Linked DNA regions of Oryctolagus cuniculus. The protein of the gene in region 3 interacts with the protein of the main gene of each other region in a biochemical or structural test. Links are inferred from orthologs where the notes say so. Each region holds a gene or a part of one and is shown on either strand. Other genes may lie near its edges. The genes, in order: LGALS1, LGALS3 and LGALS3BP.

What was found.
Region 1: the proteins of LGALS3BP (region 3) and LGALS1 form a complex in vitro, tested with the Homo sapiens proteins (2 studies listed by BioGRID). The link is inferred for Oryctolagus cuniculus from reciprocal best matches to the Homo sapiens genes LGALS3BP and LGALS1.
Region 2: the proteins of LGALS3BP (region 3) and LGALS3 form a complex in vitro, tested with the Homo sapiens proteins (4 studies listed by BioGRID). The link is inferred for Oryctolagus cuniculus from reciprocal best matches to the Homo sapiens genes LGALS3BP and LGALS3.

Annotation. Positions count from the first base shown.
Region 1 is NC_091442.1:114,554,058-114,561,695, reverse strand, and holds LGALS1 (galectin-1), read right to left. Parts: upstream 4,746-7,638; 5' UTR 4,461-4,745; coding exon 4,455-4,460; intron 3,285-4,454; coding exon 3,205-3,284; intron 1,642-3,204; coding exon 1,470-1,641; intron 1,369-1,469; coding exon 1,222-1,368; 3' UTR 1,171-1,221; downstream 1-1,170. UniProt on the Homo sapiens protein: Lectin that binds beta-galactoside and a wide array of complex carbohydrates. Plays a role in regulating apoptosis, cell proliferation and cell differentiation. Inhibits CD45 protein phosphatase activity and therefore the dephosphorylation of Lyn kinase.
Region 2 is NC_091443.1:21,357,689-21,364,564, forward strand, and holds part of LGALS3 (galectin-3), read right to left. Parts: intron 4,767-6,876; 5' UTR 4,763-4,766; coding exon 4,745-4,762; intron 4,197-4,744; coding exon 3,897-4,196; intron 3,075-3,896; coding exon 2,986-3,074; intron 1,974-2,985; coding exon 1,808-1,973; intron 1-1,807. UniProt on the Homo sapiens protein: Galactose-specific lectin which binds IgE. May mediate with the alpha-3, beta-1 integrin the stimulation by CSPG4 of endothelial cells migration.
Region 3 is NC_091448.1:2,762,155-2,769,582, reverse strand, and holds the start of LGALS3BP (galectin-3-binding protein), read right to left. Parts: upstream 4,730-7,428; 5' UTR 4,576-4,729; intron 3,355-4,575; 5' UTR 3,334-3,354; coding exon 3,282-3,333; intron 2,602-3,281; coding exon 2,410-2,601; intron 1,576-2,409; coding exon 1,444-1,575; intron 785-1,443; coding exon 541-784; intron 66-540; coding exon 1-65. Other genes in the region: CANT1 (soluble calcium-activated nucleotidase 1), read right to left, coding at 7,257-7,428.

The DNA.
Region 1 (7,638 bases), on a different chromosome or scaffold from region 3:
CGGTCGGAGCTGAGACGATCCGAAGCCAGAAGACAGAAGCCAGGAGCTTCTTCCAGGTCTCCCATGCGGGTGCAGGGGCCCAAGGCCTTGGGCCATCTACTACTGTTTTCCCAGGCCATAGCAGAGAGCTGGATCAGAAGAGGAGCAGCTGGGACTTGAACCAGCACCCATATGGGTTGCCAGCACTGCAGGCAGAGGCTTAGCCCACTAAGCCACAGCACCAGCCCCAGCCGGGGGGTCTCCATCACCCGAGAGCCTGTCTCTTCCCCTGCAAATCGGAGTGATAACATCTCAATAGTGCAGGAGGGACCATGTTTGGGGCACTGAACTTTTTGATTTTTTTAAAAGATTTATTTATTTGAAAGGCAGAGTTAGAGAAAGAAAGAGACAGAGAGAGAGGTCTTCCATCCACTGGTTCACTCCCCTAATGAGCACAACAGCCGAAGCCAGGAGCCAGGAGCTTCTTCTGGATCTCACGCGTGGGTGCAGGGGCCCATGCACTTGGGCCATCTTCCGCTGCTTTCCCAGGTGCATCGCAGGCAGCTGGGTCAGAAGTGGAGCAGCCGGAACATAACCCGGGGCCTACATGGGATGCTGGTGCCGCAGGCGGAGGCTTAGCTCACTACCCCACAGCACCGGGCCCTTGGGGCACTGAACTTGGCCTTCATGAGACACCCCATTCAGTATCCACAGCCACCCAGTGACGGGAACGGACGTTACCCCTGCTGGTGTGCTGGTGAGAAACCGAGGCTCAGAGAGGCGCGCAAATGTGCACCAGGCCACCCAGCAGGCAGCCCCACCCCTCTGCCCTGGTCTTTGCACAGGCAGCGGACCCAAGGCCCCGGGTTCCTTCCCTGCACCTCGCTCTGGCCTGCCCTGGTCCCCTCTGCGGGCAGTAGGCTGCCTCGGCCTCTGTCCTCCTTGGCTTCATTGTTAGGGAGCATCTTTTGAGCACCTGCTGTTTGCTGGGGCCCACTGGGCCGGGAGCAGTGTGAGGGCAGGGAAGGGGGCCCACTCTGTTAGCACTGAGCCCCCTCTGACGTGGCCCAGGGGTACCACGTATCAGAGGGGGTGACTGAAAGTGAAGGAGGCAGCTGGGCGCGGGGTGGGGGGAATGCCCCTTACACACACACACACACACACACACGCGCGCGCGTGTGCACAGGCGGGTTCAGGGTGCAGAGGCAGCTGCCTTTATTGAGAACCGCGAGCCTGCAGGCGTCAGTCGATGGTCATACACTTGACCTTGAAGTCGTCACTGGTGTGCAGGTAGTCGATGGTCTCTAGGTTGAGGCGGTTGGGGAACTTGAACGTGTGCCCGTCCGGGAGCTTGATGAGCAGATCCTCTTTGTTAAAGGAGAAAGTCACCTGCGGGCGGGAGGGCAGTGAGAGGGGTCGGATGGGGGCGGGGTTCAGAGAGGGGAGGGGCTGCCCCCCACCCCGCCCCGCCCCGGAGAGCCCTCGCCCACCTCGGCCACGCTGCCCGGCTGGAAGGGAAACGCCTTCTCGCGGTGCTCCACGCCCCAGACGCCCTTCTCCTTGCTGTTGCACACGATGGTGTTGGTGTCCCCTTGGGAGTTGAAGCGGGGGTTGAAGTGCAGGCACAGGTTGTCGATGTCTTGGCCCAGGTTCACGATGAAGCTGGGGGGAGGGGAGGGCTTGAGGCACTGCAGCAGGCCGTGGCTTCCACCGCCCCCCCCCCAGAGCAGCCCTCCCCTCGTACCCCCGGAGCCTGCCGAGCTGGACGCTCACTGATCCTGTGTTCTCTCTGGCCCTGTGTGACCTGGAGCTGGCCCCTCACAGGCTGTGCCTCGGTTTCTCCGTCTGTACAGTGGGTGCTGCCCAGGAGGCTGTCTAGGGTCTTTTTTTTTTTTTTTAAAGAAAGTCCCACACTCAGAAAACTGACCTTTTTTTTTTTTTTTTAAGATATTTATTTGAAAGAGTTACAGAGAGAGAGGGAGACACACACACACAGAGGTATCTTCCATCCAATTATTAACTCCCCACATGGCCGCAATGGCTGGGGCCAGGAGCCAGGAGCTTTTTCTGGGTCTCTCATATGGGCGGCAGGGCCCCAAGCACTTGGGCCATCCTCCACTGCTTTCCCAGTCCATTAGCAGGGAGCCAGATCGGAAGTGGAGCAGCTGGGACTCGAACCAGTGCCCATACGGGATGCCAGGGCCGCAGCCGATGGCTTCACCCACTGCTTCACAACTCTGGCCCCTGTCTTAAGGCCTTGAAAAAAAAACTACTTATTTATTTGCAAGCCAGAGTTACAGAGAGATCTTCCATCCACTGGTTTACTCCCCAAGTGGCTGCAATAGCCCGGGCTTGGCCAGGCCAAAGCCAGGAACTCCATCCTGCGTGGCAGGGGCCCAGGTACTTTTGACCATCCTCCGCTGCTTTGCCAGGTGCATTAGCAGGGCACGGGATCAGAAGTGGAGAAGTCAGGACCCGAACCGGCGCTCATATGGGGCGCTGGCATCACGGGCGGTGGCTCCACCCACTGCGCCACAGTGCCTGCCCCATCTCTTAGAGCCTTGCGGGGCTGAAAGCTCACGACTCCTGCAGACACTGTGTCCTAGCCCCTCCAGAAGGTTCCTGTCTGTCACCCCTGGCGCCCAGCACAGAGCGCCACACAGCAGCAGAGAATCACTGGGACAAATGGACGCATGATGCTGCCCCACCTCTGCACGCTGGGCAAGAACCAGAGGCGACTCACACCGGAGGCTCCCGACAGCATCTGCACTCACTTCCTCCTCACTCCGCACCTCCCCCACTCATCTTACTGATGGACCGAGGCTCAGGGCGGAAGATGGCTCACGGGTCCAGGGTCACACGGCGTGCGGCAAGAGAAGACAGAAGCATCGGCCAGCCACCGCAGGAAGGAGGGCCCTCTGGGAGGCCGGAGGGGACGCCCCCTCATCCCCTCTCCCCGCCCCCACGCTGGCTGCGGGGTGGGGAGAAGGGGGCGGGGCCTGGCGGGAGGTCTGCAGCTGTTTTAATTTAAGAGACTCGGGGAGAATGGTGGAGGGGCCAGACCCAGCGGAGGAAGTGACTCACTCAGCAGCTGCCTGTTAACCCGCTCCCTGCCAGGAGGAGCCGAAGCTCTGGCCGGCCACGCCCAAACCCGGTACCCGCCCAGACGGGACCCTCAGCTCAGAGCCCTGCACCTGCTGCCCGCCGCCCTCCTCCGAGCCTCACCGACTGGCGCTGGGGGCCACCTCGCCACGCACCAGGAGGCTCTGCCCAGGCTGGAGTTTCAGGTTGTTGGCCACCAGACCCTGCGGAGACAAGAAGCCGCCCTGACACGTTAGGGGCCGTGGCCTCTGCTGCCGTGGTAGGGGGCGTGAGGGTGGTCCTTCCCAGCTTGATTTCTCTGAGCAGACCAGCACGAAGCCTGGGGGGTGGGGCAGAGCAGTGAGTTCTGGCCCCTGAGTCTCCCTGTGGACCTGGGAAAGACCCCATCCCCTGCCTGATCTGCTTGCATCTGTACCCAGATGCTGCTTGGGGATTTGGGGTTACAAGGGGTCTGGGAGGTAGGGTGCTATGCTCTGTACCCCATTTAGAAGGTGGAGAGGAGCGGGGTCCTGGTGGGGTAGGTCCCGCTGAATGTAGAGGGAGTGGCCTGAGGCTGCAGCAGCGACCCCCACCCTCTCCAGCCCCTGTCTGCAGAGGCATGGTGGCCACAGAGGCGCGGCCAGGGCCCTGTGCAGGAGGGACAGCAGCCAAGGCCGGGGCTGCAGCCAGGCCGGCTCAGGGTTAACACGGCCGAGCCACTGCGGGCAGCCGGGCACTGGCGCGGGGGGCAGGAGGGCGGGAGTTAACTGATGTGAGTGGTTCCTTCTGCCAGCAATCAGAACCCTTTCCCTGGGGGCCTGGGAAAGCTTCTGCCTCCTCCCCACCTCGGCCTCCAAGCTCGGGGTGACGTGGGGGCCCCCCCAGCCTCCACCTGACCAGGCTGGGCAGGACCACCCACCCCCCTCACCCAGGGAAGGCCCCAGCCGGGCAGCCTCTCTTAGGTCCCGGCCACTCTGTAGAAGTCTCTGGAGCAGAGGAGGATTCTGAGCTGGTCGGGTGACTGGGGACAGCTGCAGGGGGGAGGGGAAGGAGGCTCTTTGCGGTGGAAGAGAGGAACAGTGGCCTGGGCCTCACCAGTCTACCCCCCACCCCCTGCCCTGGCCCCGGCCACACCCTTCCCACTCCCACTTCATAGAGAACTACAGAAAGTCAGACTTGGCAGGAAGAACTGTCAGACCTTGAAAGGATCCAGAATATTCTTAAGCCAGAGAAGGCCTTGGGGGACCATGGTCCCCACCCCCATTTTATAGATGTGATCACTGAGGCCCAGAAAAGAGAAGGCAGTCCTCCAAGGCCACAGAGCTGGGACCAGAGCCCAGCCCCCGCTCCGCTACACTCTCCCCTGGACTTTGGGAGGAGGGCCCCACACTCACAGCCATGATTGAAGCGGGACGATGGGTGATCCCAAGACTGCAGCACCGGCTGTCCGGAAGGCCCCGCCCGAGAGATGGCTCCTGATGGCTCTCACCCTTTTTTAAGTGACCCGGACCCTGGTCTGAGTCCCGCCCCCTGGCAGCTCAGCCAATTGTAAGTCAGAACAGGGGTAGGGGTGGAGTCCATGGAATTTTGAAGCCAGTTCTGGAGCAAAGGGTACCAATCAGAGCGGGGAACTCCCTTTTTAGCCACGCCCCTGGGGCCCAAGCTCCACCTCCTATTCTGCCTCCAGCCCCGCCCTAATCTCCCCAAATTTGTGCTGTGGCAGAGACTGGGGGAAGCCAATGGAAAATAGTTGAGCTGGGCCCAAGAGCTGATGGGACGGGGGCCTGGGGCCAGCAGGCAGAGCCCAGCGCGTGTCTGGAGAAGGCAGGGGCGGGAGGGAGGGCGTGTGCAGGGGGCTCCAGGGAGTCAGCGCTGGGCTGGGGTGGGGGCTGCTCCCAGGCAGGGTCAGGGCGTGGCTCTGGCTGTGGGCACTGCAGAGGGATGGGGACCCAGGACCACAAGGCCCGGGCCCCCCCACAAGTGGGGCTGTGCTCTTCTCTGAGTCTAAAAAAAGCCTGGGCGGGGTGCCAGGCCCCAGCCTGCCAGCCGGTGCTCCTGCCTCGGTGCTTCTGGGAGGTGCGCGGCCGGACAGCTCTGCCTGAGGGTGCCCGGCCTGGGGAGCAGCCCGGTGGGCCCGGCCGTGAGGGGTTGGGGCCCCTGCTCTGGGCACCCAGTCTGCTCTCTTCACTCCCCCCTTTGCCCGTGCATTCAGCAGCTATTCTGCGCTGTAGCTCCCACATGCCTGGCCCTGGGCTGGCCTCAGGACCTCCGGAGACGACTCCCTCACTGTCCCTGTTCCCAAGGAGCCCACGGTTGGGGGACACCAACCGGGAACCTGATTAAGAAGCGGCACCGGGCCGGCACCGCAGCTCAACAGGCTAATCCTCCGCCTTGCGGCGCCGGCACACCGGGTTCTAGTCCCGGTCAGGGCGCCGGATTCTGTCCCGGTTGCCCCTCTTCCAGGCCAGCTCTCTGCTGTGGCCCGGGAGTGCAGTGGAGGATGGCCCAGGTGCTTGGGCCCTGCACCCTATGGGAGACCAGGAGAGGCACCTGGCTCCTGCCATTGGATCAGCGCGGTGCGCCGGCTGCGGCGGCCATTGGAGGGTGAACCAACGGCAAAGGAAGACCTTTCTCTCTGTCTCTCTCTCTCTCTCACTGTCCACTCTGCCTGTCAAAAAGAAAAAAAAAAAAAGAAGAAGAAGAAGAAGCGGCACAGTCACAGCAAGCCCTGTGGTGGGATGGAGACGCCGCAGGCCGTGGAGAAGGTGGGTCTCTGCAGGTGCGCAGGAGCTCAGGAATGAGAGCGCAGGGGTGGGAGCAGCAGTGGGCACGTGGCCCTGCAGGGGGAGGCTTGGGGGACTAGGCCGGGAATCCAGATTGTACAGGCTTCACAGGCCAGAGGAAGGGCTTGGACACAGTCCAAGGTGCCGGGCAGCCACAGAAGGTTCTAGAATAGTGAGTGCTGAGGCCCGACTGGGGCTGCAGAGATCCCTGTAGCAGCAGAGGCGAGGCTGGTGGGAGGGCGCTCCTCTCACATCAGGAGGCAGGTGCACAGAGGGCAGGGAGCGCTGGGCAAGGTGAGGGAACCCCCAGGGAGCCATCCTGGGCACCCCCTTCCCCATCCGACCATCACCGCCCGCAGCAGCTGGCGCCGGAGGGAGGACGATGCGGCTCTCAGTGACTCACTGAAGGCCAGTCCCTCAGCCGCCCAGCCCTGCCCTCGGGCCAGCCCAGCCCTTGTGCCCCTGGGAGAGGAGTGTGCAGGGCTGGGCTGTGCCTGGAGCCCCTTCGCCCTCCTCCCAGACAAGCAGCTCCCTCCAAAACCAACCGCAGTGGTTTCACTCTTTCCTTTCTGGCCTCCCCAAACCTCAGTCCGCTCAGGGGTGGGCGTGGCCTGCCCAGCCCCAGGCCTTCCCCTGGGAGTCCCCTCACTGCCCAAGGGGGAAAGGGGGCTTTTCAGGCAGGGTCTGGCCACCGAAGCTGAGATGCAGAGGGGGACCAGGCCTCAGGGCTGGGGGAACTGCTCCTGCATCCTTCCCCCAACCTAGAAAATGCGTCCAGTACCGCAAGTGTTAGCCACCAAACGGAGGGACCACCGTGCCCCTGTCTGGTGGGCCCAGGCTGGCAGGAGGCGGCACTGTGTGGCACCTGGGTCCCCAGAGAGGCCCTCCTGGGCACCCCTAGGACATCCTGATGCGTCCCTTTGGGCTTGCCTCAGTCTCCCCTTCTGTAAACTGGAGAGGAGAAATCGTGATGTCTTTTTTTTTTTTTTTAAGATTTATTTTATTTATTTGAAAGACAGAGTTACAGAGAGAGGTAGAGACAGAGAGAGAGAGGTCTTCCATCCACTATTTCACTCCCCAAATGACCGCAACGGCTCTGAAGCCAGGAGCCAGGTGTTTCCTCCTGGTCTCCCACGCAGGTGCAGGGGCCTAAGGACTTGGACCATCTTCCACTACCTTCCCAGGCCACAGCAGAGAGCTGGATTGGAAGTGGAGCAGCCAGGACTCGAACCGGTGCCCATACGGGATGCCGGTGCTGCAGGTGGCGGTTACACTGCAATGTTGGCCCCAATTCGGAAATTTCAAGAGTCATTACAAAATGTAAGTTGAAATCAGGAGATAAGGGAGATAAAAATAAAAAAAGTTATAAGCATGAAAATGTACTCTTGGCAAGAGGTTAAGAAAAGAAAATGTTTGGATAAAGAAAGGGCAGTGCTGGTAAGAATTTTCTGTCCTAAGGAGAATGCCTGGTGCATCCGAGATTGGAAGGGAAAGGTGGGGCAGAAGTGCCTGAAGATTTCAGCAAGCGGCAGGAAGTGTGAGGAAGGCACCGAGGCTTTGAGAGGAACAGATCTCGCAAGAAAAGTTCATGTGTGATAAGATCGCCTGCAATTTTGAAAATATTGTTTATGGCATTTTCCAGAAAGTAAGCATTAATACCAAAGATACCATCCTCTGTTAACAAATAAGCTTTATATATAATATATATAGATATGTCAGTAAATATCTGAAAACAGTCTGTTTTTTTTTTTTAAGATTTATTTGAAAGTCAGAGTTGCACAGAGAAAGGAGAGGG
Region 2 (6,876 bases), on a different chromosome or scaffold from region 3:
GATTTAAACAACAAAAAAGGCAACAAAATTACTGGAAGGGTATAAAAATGAAGCCATAAAGGAAAAGGTTACTAATTTACTGATAAACACAAAAGTGGGCTCAGCATTGTGACACAGCAGGTTAAGCCACCATTGGACAACAGGTGCTGGCTTCAGTCCCGGCTGTTCCACTTCTCAACCAGCTCCCTACTAATGTGGCTGGGAAAGCAGTGAAGGTTGGCCTGAGTCCTTGGGCCCCTACATCCCTGTCGGGAGACTGGGATGAAATTTCAGACTCCTGACTTCAGCCTGGCCCAGCCCGAACCATTGCAGCTATTTGGGGAGTGAACCAGCAGATGGAAGATCTCTCTCTCTAACTCTCCAGTAAATAAAAGTTTTTGTACAGCCTACAAAAACACTAAAATAGGAACCCCTTAACAGAGTTGCAAATGTTACAAAGATTAATAATAACCAGTGTTGTTTTTTATATATATATTATAGTGAATATATATATATAGTGAATATATATATATATTCACTAACTGTTCAAATAATGTGTTTTCTCTGCCCTGGTTTATATATATATATATATATATATATAAAAAAAACCAGGGCAGAGAAAACACATTATTTGAACAGTTAGTGAATTTTCATCCTCACATTGTTTGGAAGCCACAATTTGGCAATATCTTCTCTAATTTTATACATGTGTATTCTTTGAAGAAAATTACCCTTATTGGAAGCAAAGACTTATAATGATGGTTATTACAAACTTAAAGTGAAGTAAACAAGCTTTTGCAGGTTTTCTTTCCTCCAAAGTTTCATCTGTAGGATTAAGTGGGCACATGTCTACATGATGACATACTGTCCAGGCAGTGCTCTGAGAAGGAAAGATGCCCACAAAATGCAGACGCAGCTCCCTGTACCTGCACTTAGGAGCTCACAGTGTGTTCTGCCGGCCACCCTGCAGTCAACCCAGGCCCAATGCTGTGGAGCTAGTATGTGTTTTGGTGAAACACTACTTAATAAAAAGATTGTTGTGGGTAACAGAAAATACTCGAGGAGATACCAGGTTGCAACCTCTGTGAGGGTGGGGATGGGGAGGGAAGATGTCTCAGTCAATTTAAAAATCTATAAATCTTCCATAAAGCATACGTATTCAATCTATAATTTTTTAAAGCTTTGTTTTGGTTGCCATGCCAACTATGTTTTTTAAGGAACTAAGTCTCAATTTACCTGTACCATAGATATCCTACTTTTTTATTAAAGATGATATACTTTATTTCTAGAAAAACATAAACTCGGAGGGGTGGGACAGTGATAATCACAAGGCCACTGAAAGGAACTGGGGAGTGTGCCACTCCTGGCCTGTTCCCAGCATGGTAGTGAGGAGACAGACTGGTTAGATGCCCCAGGACAGGTGGTCAATATTCATCTCAGTGGGAAGCAGGAGTTTCGCACATTGGGTTAAGATGCTGCTTTGGACACCTGCATCCCATACTGGGGTTCTGGGTTCAAGTCCCACCTCAGCTCCGAATTCCACTACCCTGGGAAGCAACAATGATGGCTCAGGTAGCTGGGTCTCTGCCACACACTTGAAGTGGGTTCCAGGTTCTTCCTGACTTTGGCCTGCCCCAGCGCAAGCTGTTGTGGGCTTTCAAGGGGTGAACCAATGGATGGAGCACGTTCTTTCTGTGTGTCTCCCTCTCTGCCTTTAAAATGAATCAAATAAATACAAGCTAAAAATAATTTCATGTCAAGTACACTGACTCACGAGTCGCCATGAGAAATACATTTTACCAACAGAATGGCAGCAGCAGTTACTTACTTTGAATGGTTTACCAATTTCAAATGGGAAAGTCGTCTGCCTTTCTTCCCTTCCCCAGTTGTTATCCACCTTTGTGTTGCAGACAATGACTCTCCTGTTGTTCTCATTGAAGCGGGGGTTAAAGTGGAAGGCAACGTCATTCCCTCTCTTGAAATCCAAAGCGAGTCTGTTTCAAACCAAAGACCACAGTTACTACAGTGATTAAAGCTGTACATTTGTATCAAGCGCACATTTTGTTCATAACAGAATGGGTTCAGACTGGAAATATGCCAGGCCCAGTATTCTATGTACTCCCCTAAACCTAAAGGCCAGTGAGTCAATATGTATTACATTATTCTGGCCTCTGTCTTTGGTTATACCATTCCCATTCAGCTGTAAGACCCTCTTTACAGATTCCACTCATGCAAATCCTTCAAGATTTCCTTCTAGAGGGTTAGGACCAGGTTGTGAACACTTTGTATTTTATGACAGATGATGATTCGCTCTCTACTGCCTTGCCAGGGTGCTTTCCATACCTGTTATGGGCAACTGTACATAAAACCAGAGTATCGGATACTGGGCTTTGTCATGGTTAACAGAAACAATGAGATCATGCAGTTCATGGGCAGTGTCCTGTTGCTAAGCTGTAAAGTCACAGTAATAGAAGTGTTGAACATCCCATAATGGGAGGTGGGACCAAAGAAAGTGCTGCTTTAACTTTCTGACCCTGTTCCTGTCCTTGGATGTTAACACAAAGTCCCCTGTTAAAGGACTAACTAGCCGATTGCTGAGTTTCTCCAAGCGTGCCACCAGCGAGCTAACACGAGAATCAGCTGAGGTTCTGCCTTTAAAGCAAGGCCTGGCGTGGCCACTTTGGCACAGCAGATCAAGCCACTGCTCCAGACATCCACATCCCATATCAGCTACTCCGTTTCTGACCCAGCTTCTCGCTAATGCATCCTGGTGGGCAGCTCAAGTGCTTGGGCCCCCGCCACCCACTTGGGAGATCTGGATAGAGTGCTGAACTACTGACTTTGGCCTGACCCAGCCCTGACTGCTGTGGGCATTTGAGGAATGAACTAGCAGATGGAAAATCTCTCTCTCCCTCCACCCCTCACATTTCAAAAAAATAAAACTTTACATAAAAATAAAACAACCCAGCAGCAAATGCATGCAGCTGGCTAGCTTTGCCTCTTTACCTGTTTGCATTGGGCTTCACCGTGCCCACAATCGTTATCAGCATGCGGGGCATGACTCCTCCAGGCAGAGGCAGGTCATAAGGCACAGGCTAAGAAAGAGAGAACGTGCACAGCAGTTAAGAACTGTGTTTGCTGGGACAAACAGAACACGCGATGTGGCTCAAGGCCCGGTCCCGTTACTGCAAGTTGTGCGGTGCTTTCCTCGTGTTTATGCGGTACCTCCCGACTAGACTCCAGGTCTGGAAGGGAAGGCTCTGACACTTCCATGTTCCAGATCCCCACCACCCCCTACCCCGCTGCCCCCTCAGCTGTGTTTTATGTTTAGAATTCGCTTGTCAAATGTATTTTTAATGGAAATTCAACCCTTGGGCCACCACATTATCTTCAGCAGTGTTTGTCAACCAGATTGCCTGGGCTTTCCCACACATTCCTACAATGACCCTGGGCCGGTTAGCAAGGGGACTTGAAAGAGCTCATGGGAAAATGGGATGAAAAGATACATTTATTTCGGTACTTGAAAGCTTTGAAATCCATGTATAGTTTTTTCCCCCCAACACACAACTACCATGAGCTTTTGGAATACGTCTCCAAGAGCGTCCCCCCAACCTGTTTGCTCAGGTGGAAGCCGAGGGTAACAACAGCATCCTAACACCTGCTGCTGCACATGCTAGGTACTCACACAGGTTTATTCGTAATAACCACCAAGCTTATTCGTAGTGACTACGCGCTTCACTTGGTTGATAGGAAAACTCTGGCAATGCCATCAAACGTGCGTCACGCATCATTGTGCGTGCAGAACACACAGTAAATGCACCCTGAGCAGTGATCTCTACTGCACCAACACCCAGCTGTGGCTCTAAGCCCGCAGACAACGCTTCAGCAAGTACACGAAATGACTAATTCCACCTTACCAGTGGTCCAGCAGAGGCGCTGTAAGGGCTGGCGCCAGGGTAAGCTCCAGCACCACTTGGCTGTCCAGGAGACGGGTAGGCCCCAGGACCACCTGGCTGCCCAGGGTAGGCTCCATGTGCTCCTGGGCCAGGGTAGGGGCCAGGAGGCGCTTGCCCGGGATAAGCTCCAGGTGCATGTCCAGGGTAGGCCCCAGGATAGGCTGCCCCTGGGTAGCCCCCTGGCCCAGCAGGCTGGTTCCCCCATGGGCCAGGCCATCCTTGGTTTGGGGGGTGTCCAGACCCAGATAGGGCATCGTTGAGCTGGAAAGAAAGACATAAACAATGGCAGGGCAGGAAAAAGACACAAACAGAGTTCTCTGGAAAACAAAAAAATGTGGTGTAACAAGTGGAAGAAGGTAAACTCCCAGCAATACATTTTTCCCACCTATTAATACTTTTGAGTTCCCCAAACTACAATCAGCTGATGGGATGGTGTTTTCCACTTTCTGCTTGCCTCCCAGAGCACGGAGGGCTGCATTTGGGTGATGCACTCAAGTCAGGAGCTGGCTCCTCCCGGACAAGCCCTGGCTTTGTCATCAACAGCAGAAGAGCGGCTGCAAACACCACCCGCCCCACGTCCCCCGGCCAGCAGGACCCGCCCTGTTCTGTCCTGGGCCTTTGCGGGGAAAGGGCTGCTCTTGGTGAGTCTCAGGCCTCTCTCTGCCTGGCTTTTCTTCCAGAACCTTAGACACCCTCACTGGCCAAAGCAGGCCCAGAGGCAGCCACGTGGTGGGAGACCAAGGGGAAGAGTCTGGTGGCGGCTATGGGAAATGGGTGTTAGGGTAAGAAAACAGACACAAGACACTCACCGAAAAACCATCCGCCATTTTCCTGCAAGGGAAACAAAAAAGACAGGTGAGCATTTGACCCTAAAGCAGCTCACGGAGGTCCTTCAATGTGCACAGCTGCAGTCAATCCACAGGCAAGGAGCCAGAAACATCTCACCGGGCCAGCAGGATTGTGGAACCCTATTTAACTCCTAAACGGCAACCTGGGCCACCCTGGCTCGCCTTCTGACTCGTGAGGGTGACAGGTCAAAGGCACAGAGGGAGAAGGAAGGAGGAGGAACATGTCTGCCCCTTTGCCAGGGGAACAGTGCACACAGCGGTGGCTTCGCTCGGGCGCCGTCACCTTGCTTCCTGCCATCTTCCGGGCCCTCCTTCCAAAGGGTTCTAGTGTGTTAAGATCACCTGCTTCGCACGCCGCCTTCAGGGCTCTAGGAGAATTGCAGTGTGGGTGGATTCCTACTGAGACACCCAAGACAATGACCTCCAGAGGTTCCTGTTTGCTGCACACCGTGGTGCTGCCCTGGGCCAGTCACTGTGCAGGCTGCTATCTGAGTGTGACGAGGAGAAGGCTACGATCAGGATGGTGCGAGGACTCACAGGCCAACAGGGCCACTCAGGTGGAAACGTGAAATACTGAGAGATCAGGGCCATTAGCAGGTGCGGTGGGAATTCAAGCCCAGAGGGCTTCCTTCTAGGAGGAAAAGGCAAGGTGGTGTTGGAAAGAAACCATGACAGCCAAGTGCAATTTGGATGTGCCTTTTTTTTTTTTAAAGGTACTTATTATTCCAAATAAAATCTCGGGCAGTGTAACAAACCAAGGTGGAAAAGTCAGCCAATGTGACGGGAAATACGGGAGGGTAGGAGCTAAGCAAGAGGGTTGTCCTGCCCGAAGCTGCCATGAGGACTGCTGCTGAGACATCATTTCTGCCCTCTGCTGCTCCCTCCCCTGTGCCAAGCCTCCCAGAGCACGAGGTGCTCTCTCTATATGAGGGAGGATCTTCAAAAAGTCCATGGAAATGTGCATGATGCAAAAGCTATGCATGGACCTCAAAACTTTTTGCATCAAAATAAAGCTATCTTTGAATTCCATTTTCCACGAACTTTTTGAAGTCCCCTTGTCCCTGCTCCTGCTGCAAGGGCCCAGGTAGTGCAGGGAGGAGGGCACTTTGCCCCCAGAGTCCTGGGTGAGTTCTTTCTAAACCCAAGATTGTGCTGTGGCCAAAGTTCCCTGGACCTTGACCCAATCAGAGACTCATGTCCCTTGATTTGTTCGCTGGTGATATTTACTCAGTCCTTTTAGGAAATGACACTGTCCCCAAGAGATAGAATAAATTATGACTTGATAGGCCCTACAAATATAAAACATTACATAAAGCCCCTCCTAGGACTTAGCATGTGATTCATTTACACACACTGGATATTTTATCCTATCTCCCTGTTGTGTATTCACAACCACACATTGCGCGTGAATGTTTTTTGCACATCTCATTTTTAGACCTTAGGGAAGCAGCCAGGTTACGACCTTGACCCCCTTGCTTGCTGTGAGCTTAACAAGGAAGTTACCGTGACGCCCAGGGCTCGCTCCACCACCCATTCGCTGTATTTGCTACAGAACTTGACCTTCTAAAGCCCCAGCCGGCCGCTCCTCTGCTTGCGCCTCCTTTCCCCAAAGGCTGCTGCACTACTGAGCAAGACACTGCGCTGCTACCATGGGAGGGAGCTGAGAGAGGAACTGTCATGGAAAAGGCAAAGGAATGAAATGTCCTAGGCCAAGAAAATAAAGCCTCTCACTTTGCACACCAGGAGGCAACCTTGAACTTCTAGGTGGGCAGAGAGCATCGCTGGGGAAACACAGCAAAGACCCAGCTATAATGCTAGAAGCATTCTGACTTTGCTAAATGTCCCCATTGCGTAGAAGCCCTTTCTCAGCCTTGTGCCACTGATGTTCGGGTCGGCCACTGTGCTGGGCGTCACAGAGGGTTCATTCCCCACAGCTGTGGCTTTAAACCTAGGGTATCAGCAGCATGTCACTCTCAAACTTGTGACAACCCAGAATGTCCTCAGACATTGCCAGGTATCCCCTGGGGCAAAAGCCATGTGAGACGGAGAGCCACCGTGTAAGTCAGTGAGCTCATGCACCCCTACATGAGTGT
Region 3 (7,428 bases):
AGGCCAGCTTGTGGAAGCACTTGACCGACCCCAGGGACACCTCGATCCGTCGGGAGTACAAGTACCTGTTGGGGGGGGGGAGGCAGAGGTGAGGCTCTGGGCCCCGGCTCGCCGCCACTCCTGGGCACTGCCCTGCACATCGGGCAGCCCTCGGGAAACCCACTGGCTCATGGCGAGCACCGTCTGGAGGTCCCAGGGTGTCGGCCTACGGAGACGGGTGGGGACAGCCACCTCTATCACTTCCTCCCCCGTGACCGTGGGCGTCACCCCAGGCAGGTGTTCTGCGCCGGGAGCAGGCGCCCACTGTCCACGCTGTATCCACGCCCACAGAACATCTGGGGAGTTCCTGTAGTACCACGAGGTCGGGTTTCTTATACTGGGTTTCACGAAAATTCACACACGTGTGCGTGTGCGTGTGCGTGTGAGCGAGCACACAGATGCATGCAGGAAGCGACACACCTGTGAGAGTGCCGAGGCGGGTGCGTGTGCGTGTGTGTGTGCACACGCGTGTGTGTGCGCGGCTGTCACCCGCGCCCTCACCTGACGAAGGCTCTGACCACAGGCACGCACTCGGGGTCCACGGTCAAGGTGATGTTGCTGCCCGGCTCCGCCCACAGGGCCTGCGCCTCGGGGTTGGCGGTCAGGATCAGCGTGTGGGCACACAGGCGCTCCTCCTGCCCTGTCACCTGGAGGAACAGGTCGCAGCCCCGCTGGCTGTCGAAGATCTGACCCAGGGCATCTGAGAGCTCCCCGGAGAGGTCGAGGGTGTGCGTGCTTCTGGTTTCTGCAGGGGCCGAAGGAGGCGAGCGTGAGGGGGCGTGGCTGCCTCCCCCCACCCCCACCCTGCACCCAGCCAGAGCGTGAGGGGGGGACACGCCTGGGTGCACTCTGACCCCGGAAGACCCGACGTGGCTGCCTCCCCCCACCCCCACTCCGCACCCAGCCAGTGAGGGCAGCTGAGGCCCCGGCTGCCTCCTGCAGCTCTGTGTTGGGCCCTCTGCCCAGCTCTGCGCCCCCAGGCCCAGGCAGCAGCTGCGGGGGCGGGGGGCGGGGGGCGGGGGGCGGATTGGGTGGCGCCAACCTCCAAGCCCCACAGCCATCAGTCAATCAATCATCGGAACAGAGGGAGGAGCGAACCACGGCAGACCTTTGCCCGGGGCTCACGCATGCAGAGCCGCGGGGGGCCAATCAGAGCGGGGGTGGGGGGCCTGGGGGGCATCGCTGGCTGTCCTGGCCTCTGCGCCCCGGGAAACGGACAGGCCCCAGTGCTGACCCAGCAAGTGCGAGAGCTGTCGTGGTCTCAGACCGCGAGCTGACGCCACCGTCAGCCGTCGTGGCGTCCGGGAGGGACTGTGGAGCAGGTGCGGTTCCCAACCGCCCGGCCCCTCGTGGGCTGTGGGTGGGCAGCACCCCGGGGCCCCGGGCTGGAGGGCGCACACGCACCGTTGGTGCAGACCACGCCCGCGTCCTGCGCGTGCCTGCAGTTGCTCTTCAGCCAGCCCAGGGACCTGCATTCTGCCAGCGAGGACTCCGTCCCTGTGCACACGACCTCGTCCAGCATCACGGGGCCTGTTCCTGTCGGCGCAGCAAAGTGGACAGGGCCGGGGCGTGAGCAGGCGCCGGGCCCGTGGCCGGGGCGGCAGCTGCTTGTCAACGCAGCCCGTGCAGGCAGCAGCGATGGCTCGGGCTACGCACACGGAAGCCTGGATTGTCTCCTGGCCTCCGGCTCCAGCCCTGGCCCAGAGATTTCGGGCATTTGGGGACGGAACCAGCAAACGGGAGCTCCCTCTGTCGCTCACTTGAAAAAATGCTCAAGTATTATTTATTTGAGATGGAGAAACCTCCCGTTCGTTCCCCAAATGGCAGCAACAGCCGGGACTGGGCCAGGCCGAAGGGCCAGGAGCGCCCACTGCGTCTCCCACAGGGTGGCAGGAACCTGGGTACGTGGGCCGTCACCTGCTGCAAGCTGGACTGGACGGGGGCGGGGCGGCACTCGGGCTGGGATGCAGCTTGATCCACGGACCCACACACCTGCCCTGGAGGAGACTTTTCAGAAAACGGGGGGCTGGTTTTTGGGGTTCCCGCGCCTCTGCAGCGTGCGTCCCCTGTATGCAGGCCTCGGACCGGGCTATTCCACGGTGCCGGTCCAGCGTGGGTTTGGATCTCTTACGGCCAACACCTGGGCTTGGCTCACGCTGTGGGCCCCGCCGCTGCGAATTTGGGTTTTTCCCCTTTTTTTCCAGACTCAGTCAGCGGGGAGCGGGCACTTCCTGCCCACAGATTCTCCTCGGGAGGGAACGGTTCAGGATCAGGCCCAGAGGGGACTGGCCCAGCACGGAGCGGCCAGAGGGAACAGGCCCAGAGGCCTTGCAGCGGGCCTGTCTCAGTGCTGGGCATGGGCAGCCCCACCTGGCCCGAAGGCGGCTCTGCCCAGAGCCTCGGTGGCATTCTGGAACCCCAGGGCCCGGCAGACGACGCTGGCGTCCGTCAGGTCCCAGAGGTTGTCGCACACGGTCCCCCACTGGCCCCTGTAGAAGATCTCCACGCGGCCCTCGTTGGCTGCGTCCCCGTTGGCCAGCCGCATGTCCCCGTCCTTCTCGCCTGCGGAGAGGGCAAAGGTCAGCTGGACGCGGCGCCCACCCAGCAGCGCGGCGGTTGTAAGGGCTTCCCCGGTCAGGCTGGCCGGTCCCTCACGTCAAAGCGCCCTCCACCCTGGCTGGGTGACACCCGTGCAGACCCCGCCCCCAGCCCGCGAGGCTGACTTGTCTCCCTGGTCCGCGTGGCCGGAGCTGAGGACAGGGACAGGGACACGGACGAGGAACCGGTGCTCTCCAGCACTGGACAAGAGGGGCAGGACCCCAGAGAGGACTGGGTGGGGGCCCTCGAGGGCAGCCGAGCAGGGGCGTCCATGGGCTCCAGGACTGGCGAGGGGGAGGGGGAGGGAGGTGTCCAGGACCCTTGGAGGCCTGGCCTGTGTCCAGAGGCTGCTGGCCTCACGACCACCCCCGCCACCGGCCTATGTGCTTGCCCCCATCCCCACTGGGGACAGAGTTCCTGGGTCCCCTCCCCATCCCCCCAAAGCCAGAACCCGGGGTCCCCGGAAGACACAAGCCACCCTCATTGGGTACCGCCTGGCTTGAGGCAGGAGAGACCTGGCCAGCACCTCCCAGCTCTCCGGAGGAGGGGCCCACCCCGACCCCAACCCCGACCCTGACCCCGCGGGGCAGGGCGGCAGCAGGCGCGTGGACTTCGGCCCTGGGCACCTCCCGGGCTCAGCTCACCTCGAGTCCCGGCGAGCAGCAGCCACACCCAGAAGAGCCGTGGGGGGGCCATGGCCTCCCTGGAGCCCTGACCCTGCAGCAGAAGGAAGCGGCGTGAGCCCGCACCCCGACCCGTCCTCCACTCCGCTGCGGGGCACACAGGGACCCCCTCCCGCAACCCCCCCCCGAGATCTCCCCATGATGAACAAGAAGGCGACCTGTGCCATGGATGCCTGGGGGGGGCTGTGCCTGGGCTGCAGGCAGAGTGAGCCTGGGCCAGAGGCAGGGGCGAGGGAGGGGGAGGCGCAGCCGGGGGCCCAGGGCGCGGCAGAGCCCCAGAGGCACCCAAGGCGGGCAGAGGGGAAGGGAGGTGAGAGGCAGGGCAGGGGCTCCGACAGGAGTGAAATCCGGGCCCCAGAGAGGCTGGGCTCGGGTCGGGGAGGAGGGGGAGGGAGTCCCTGCCTGGCGGGTTCTCCCTGCAGCTCCGTGGGAGACGGGCGTGTCTGAGAGCCCCTTGGGGGGAGGCCAGAGGGGGACGACGTGGACTTCGGCTCCGGTCCCCAGGACACACAGGCTGGGAGAGGCCGTGGGGTCCTCCCCAGGGCACCTCCCACCCCCGTCCCCGCCCGCCCTGCTGCCCCCGGCAGAGCCAGCGTTTGCTTCTCTGGGACACCCGCGGTGGCCACTAGCAGCACTGGCTACAAGCGGGGGCCTGGACACCCGCCAGGCAGGCCCGGCTCCTCACTGCTGCGCGAGCGCTGGGACCCAGTGCAGCAGTCTGTGGGGGGCCCGGCGTGGCTGCCCGCACTACGTGGTCACCCAGGGCCCCTCGCACAGTAGCTGTCCTGGCCCCAACGACCGTGCAGGGGCTGCTGTCCAGGGAAGCCAAGGGCTCCGCGCGCCCTTCACGGGCAGGAGGGCCAGGGCCACCTGCTGTCCCTGCCCCACTTCCCAGGGAGCTGCAGGGCCGGCTTTGTTCCCTTGGGGACAGGAAGTCAGGGCCCCGGACATGGGGGCCACGCGAGGCCCTGGCACGTGGCCGCCGCCCTCCGTGCGGTGCTGTCGTGCAGGTGAGAACAAGGCCTTGGGGCCAGGCCCGGGCGGGGACGCGCAGGCCCAAGACAGGGCTGAGGGCTCAACGCTGGCCCCTCCTGCCTCGGCCGGGTCCCTGTGCAGGGAACAACCACACACAGAGGCCCTGCGGGCCCAGGCGCGGCGGGGGTGGTCCCTGGACTCGGGAGCCCGGGGCGCCCTGCTCCAGGCCCGGTGCCTGCAGTGTGGCCCACGCTGGCTGCCTGCGTAGACAGGGGCTTACCTGCCTGGCACAGGTGGCTGTGCGGGAGGCTCCCGCCTCTGCTGGAGGCCCAGCCTGCAGTGTGGAGGGGCGGCCCCAGGAAGTGCTCCAGGGAACAGGGACGACTTTCGATTCCCACAAACCACCTGACTGCAGCCTCCGCTGGGGTTGGCTGCAGCTCTGCTGGCCAGGCCCCCTCTTCCTTCCTGCTCTGGCTGTGGGGGTGGGGATGGCAGCCACCCAAGTTCTGACAACAAGACCTACAGCGAGGGGCAGGACCACAACACGAAGGCCAGCCTGGGACAGCGGAGCAGAGGCCCTGGGGCAGACGGCAGCGCTGTGTCCTGGCAGGGTTGGGCCCAGCACGTTGCTGGCTGGGTGGGCAGCCCACACCCCGCCAGGCTGCAGGGCACTGACCCCCGCAGGCAGTCGGGCAGGGGGCCCTGAGCCCTGGGAGACCAGGAAAGCGGCCGGCACGTGGCTGAGCTGGAGCTGCCCCAGTACCTGACACCAGGGCCTGGCCTTGTCCACGCTGGGCTGACCACCCACACTGCAGAGCGGTCACTCCCCTAACGGGAACACGAATGGCCCCGCCCAGCACACACCACCCCCCCCCGCCTCCATCCCCAGCTGCGAGGTCCCAGGGCGCCCTTGGCCGCAGGGATGGTGTCGGGGAGGGCTGTGCGCCCAGACAGCCCAGCGGGAGCAGCGTCCTCTCAGGGGATGGCGCCCTGAGCCACCACGCTGGGTGTGAGGTCCTGGGCCCAGCGGCCCAGTGACCCGATCAACATCACCTCTGGTTTCTTTTCTTAAAAAGATTTATTTATTTGAAAGGCAAAGAGGGAGAGACAGAGAGGGAGAGAGACAGAGGTCTTCCATCTATTGGTTCACTCCCCCAAACGACCACAATGGCCAGAGCTGAGCTGATCTAAAGCAGGAGCCAGGAGCATTCTCCGGTATCCTATGCGGGTGCAGGGGCCCAGGATTGGGCCATCTTCCACTGCTTTCCCAGGCCACAGCAGAGAGCTGGATCAGAAGTGGAGCAGCCGGGACTCGAACTGGCACTCACATGGGATGCCGGCCTCATGGGTGGCGGCTTCACCAGCTGAGCCAAAATGCTGGCCCCCTATCTCTGGCTTCTGTTCCTGCGTCCCATGGGCCCAGATGAGGGCCCCGAACAGAACCACCTGGAGCTGCACGCACTCCCAGGGGGCGGGGGCAGGCAGGGGCCCTGTCAGCACGTGGCAGCTCTGGGAGCCGCTGGGTGGGACCCGTGGCTGTTCCCCTGCTTGGTTCATCTGAGCCCCCGGGGGCCCGCAGGCCTGGACGGCCACAGCTGGAGGCAGAACCCCTCACCGCCACTTCTGTCTCCAAGGCCAAGGCTCTCTGCCAAGCGCCAGGCAGGCTTGGGTCAGACTCCGCCCAAGCCGCCCTCGAGGCCTGGGCACACGCGCGGCGAGGCGCCGACCCCCACCTGGATGGGCCACGGGCGGGAAGCTGAGACCGCTCTGGTCCACGCGGGAGGAAGTGGACCGGCAGAGCAGTGACTTCTACACGGAGCTGCAGGGTGCCCAGAGCCAGCCTCCTCCCGCCTCAGGCCTGTGCGACCAAGGCCTTCCTGACAGGTGTCCCGTGGGGGAGCAGCCCGTCCCCAGCCCCTCCCACTCCACCAGGCTGGGTGCTCCCCAGGGCAGACCCCGCTGAAGAGTCAAGGGAGACCAGGAGGCAGGAAGAACACAGTTCCCCTCTGTGGCTTTATTGTTTACAAAACACAACAGGCCCGCCCTGGGGCCTCCAGAGCCAGGCTGCGTGGTGGTCACAGGGCCCGCAGGGGACGCTGGGTCCTGGGGCCGCGGCGCCTCCGCTCCCGCGCTGGCGGCTGCCCTGGGGTCTCGGTGGAAGAGGCGTGCAGGGAGCGGCCCAGCAGCAGCCAGGCCACGGCGTGGCACGGAGACGGCCTTCCCAGCTCAGGCAGCGCCTGACCTCTGCCCCAGACCCCGCGGGGGGACCGCAAGCCGCAGTCTGGGCCAAGAGTGTCCAGAGGAGGGGCCCGGGCCGCACGGCAGCCAGGGTCGAGCCCACGGAGTCGGGAATGAAAGCCTCAGGCGTCCGTCGGAGTGGAGCGAGGCGCACGTGCCAGCGCTGAGAAGGGCGCCCTTTCACCTTCGTGTCCGACGGCCCGGGCTTGGAACGGCCACAGGGAAACGTGAGCGCTCACTTGGCTCCCGTGGCTGGGCTGTGCCCCCTCGGAGGGGCCGGCAGCCACGGGGCTCTCCTGGCTTGGGCCCTGTGAGGCTTGGGAGGGGCCCCGGGCCGGCTCCCACAGCCGTGTGGGCATGCCCTCCACGCAGAGCCAGGCCCTCCCACACCTGGCCCACCTCCCACTCTTTGCTCTTCCTGGTCGGGCACCACACGCACACTGCGCGGGGCTCCGGGCGGGAAAAGAGAGGTCAGCCAGAGCCCCAGAATCCCGATGCCTGCCGTGACCCACGTCCACCAGCAGGGGCAGCGCAGAGCCGCCCTCAGGCCCCGTCCCCAGCTCGGGGCTGCTTCTCTGGGTTTGGTGACGTTCACGCAGGCCCAACCTCGGAGCCCTGGGAGGGGAACAAACCCAACGCAGCCGACGAGCCCTCCGGCGTTTACCAGATCCGAGTCGGATGCCGCCCGCGCCGGCCCAGCCCTGCCTGCCCCGGGCCTCTCCCTTAGATGAATTCGATCCCTTCGTACTTGACGGTCCCGATCTTGGTCTCCGGCAGGAGGAAGCGGCCGTCCAGCGTGAAAGCCATGACGTAGCTGGCGACTCTGCCGCTGTCCTCCTCGGACTTGAGGGCCACGATGATCTGGTCGTCGGTGTTGGGGATGAACTTGAAGGAC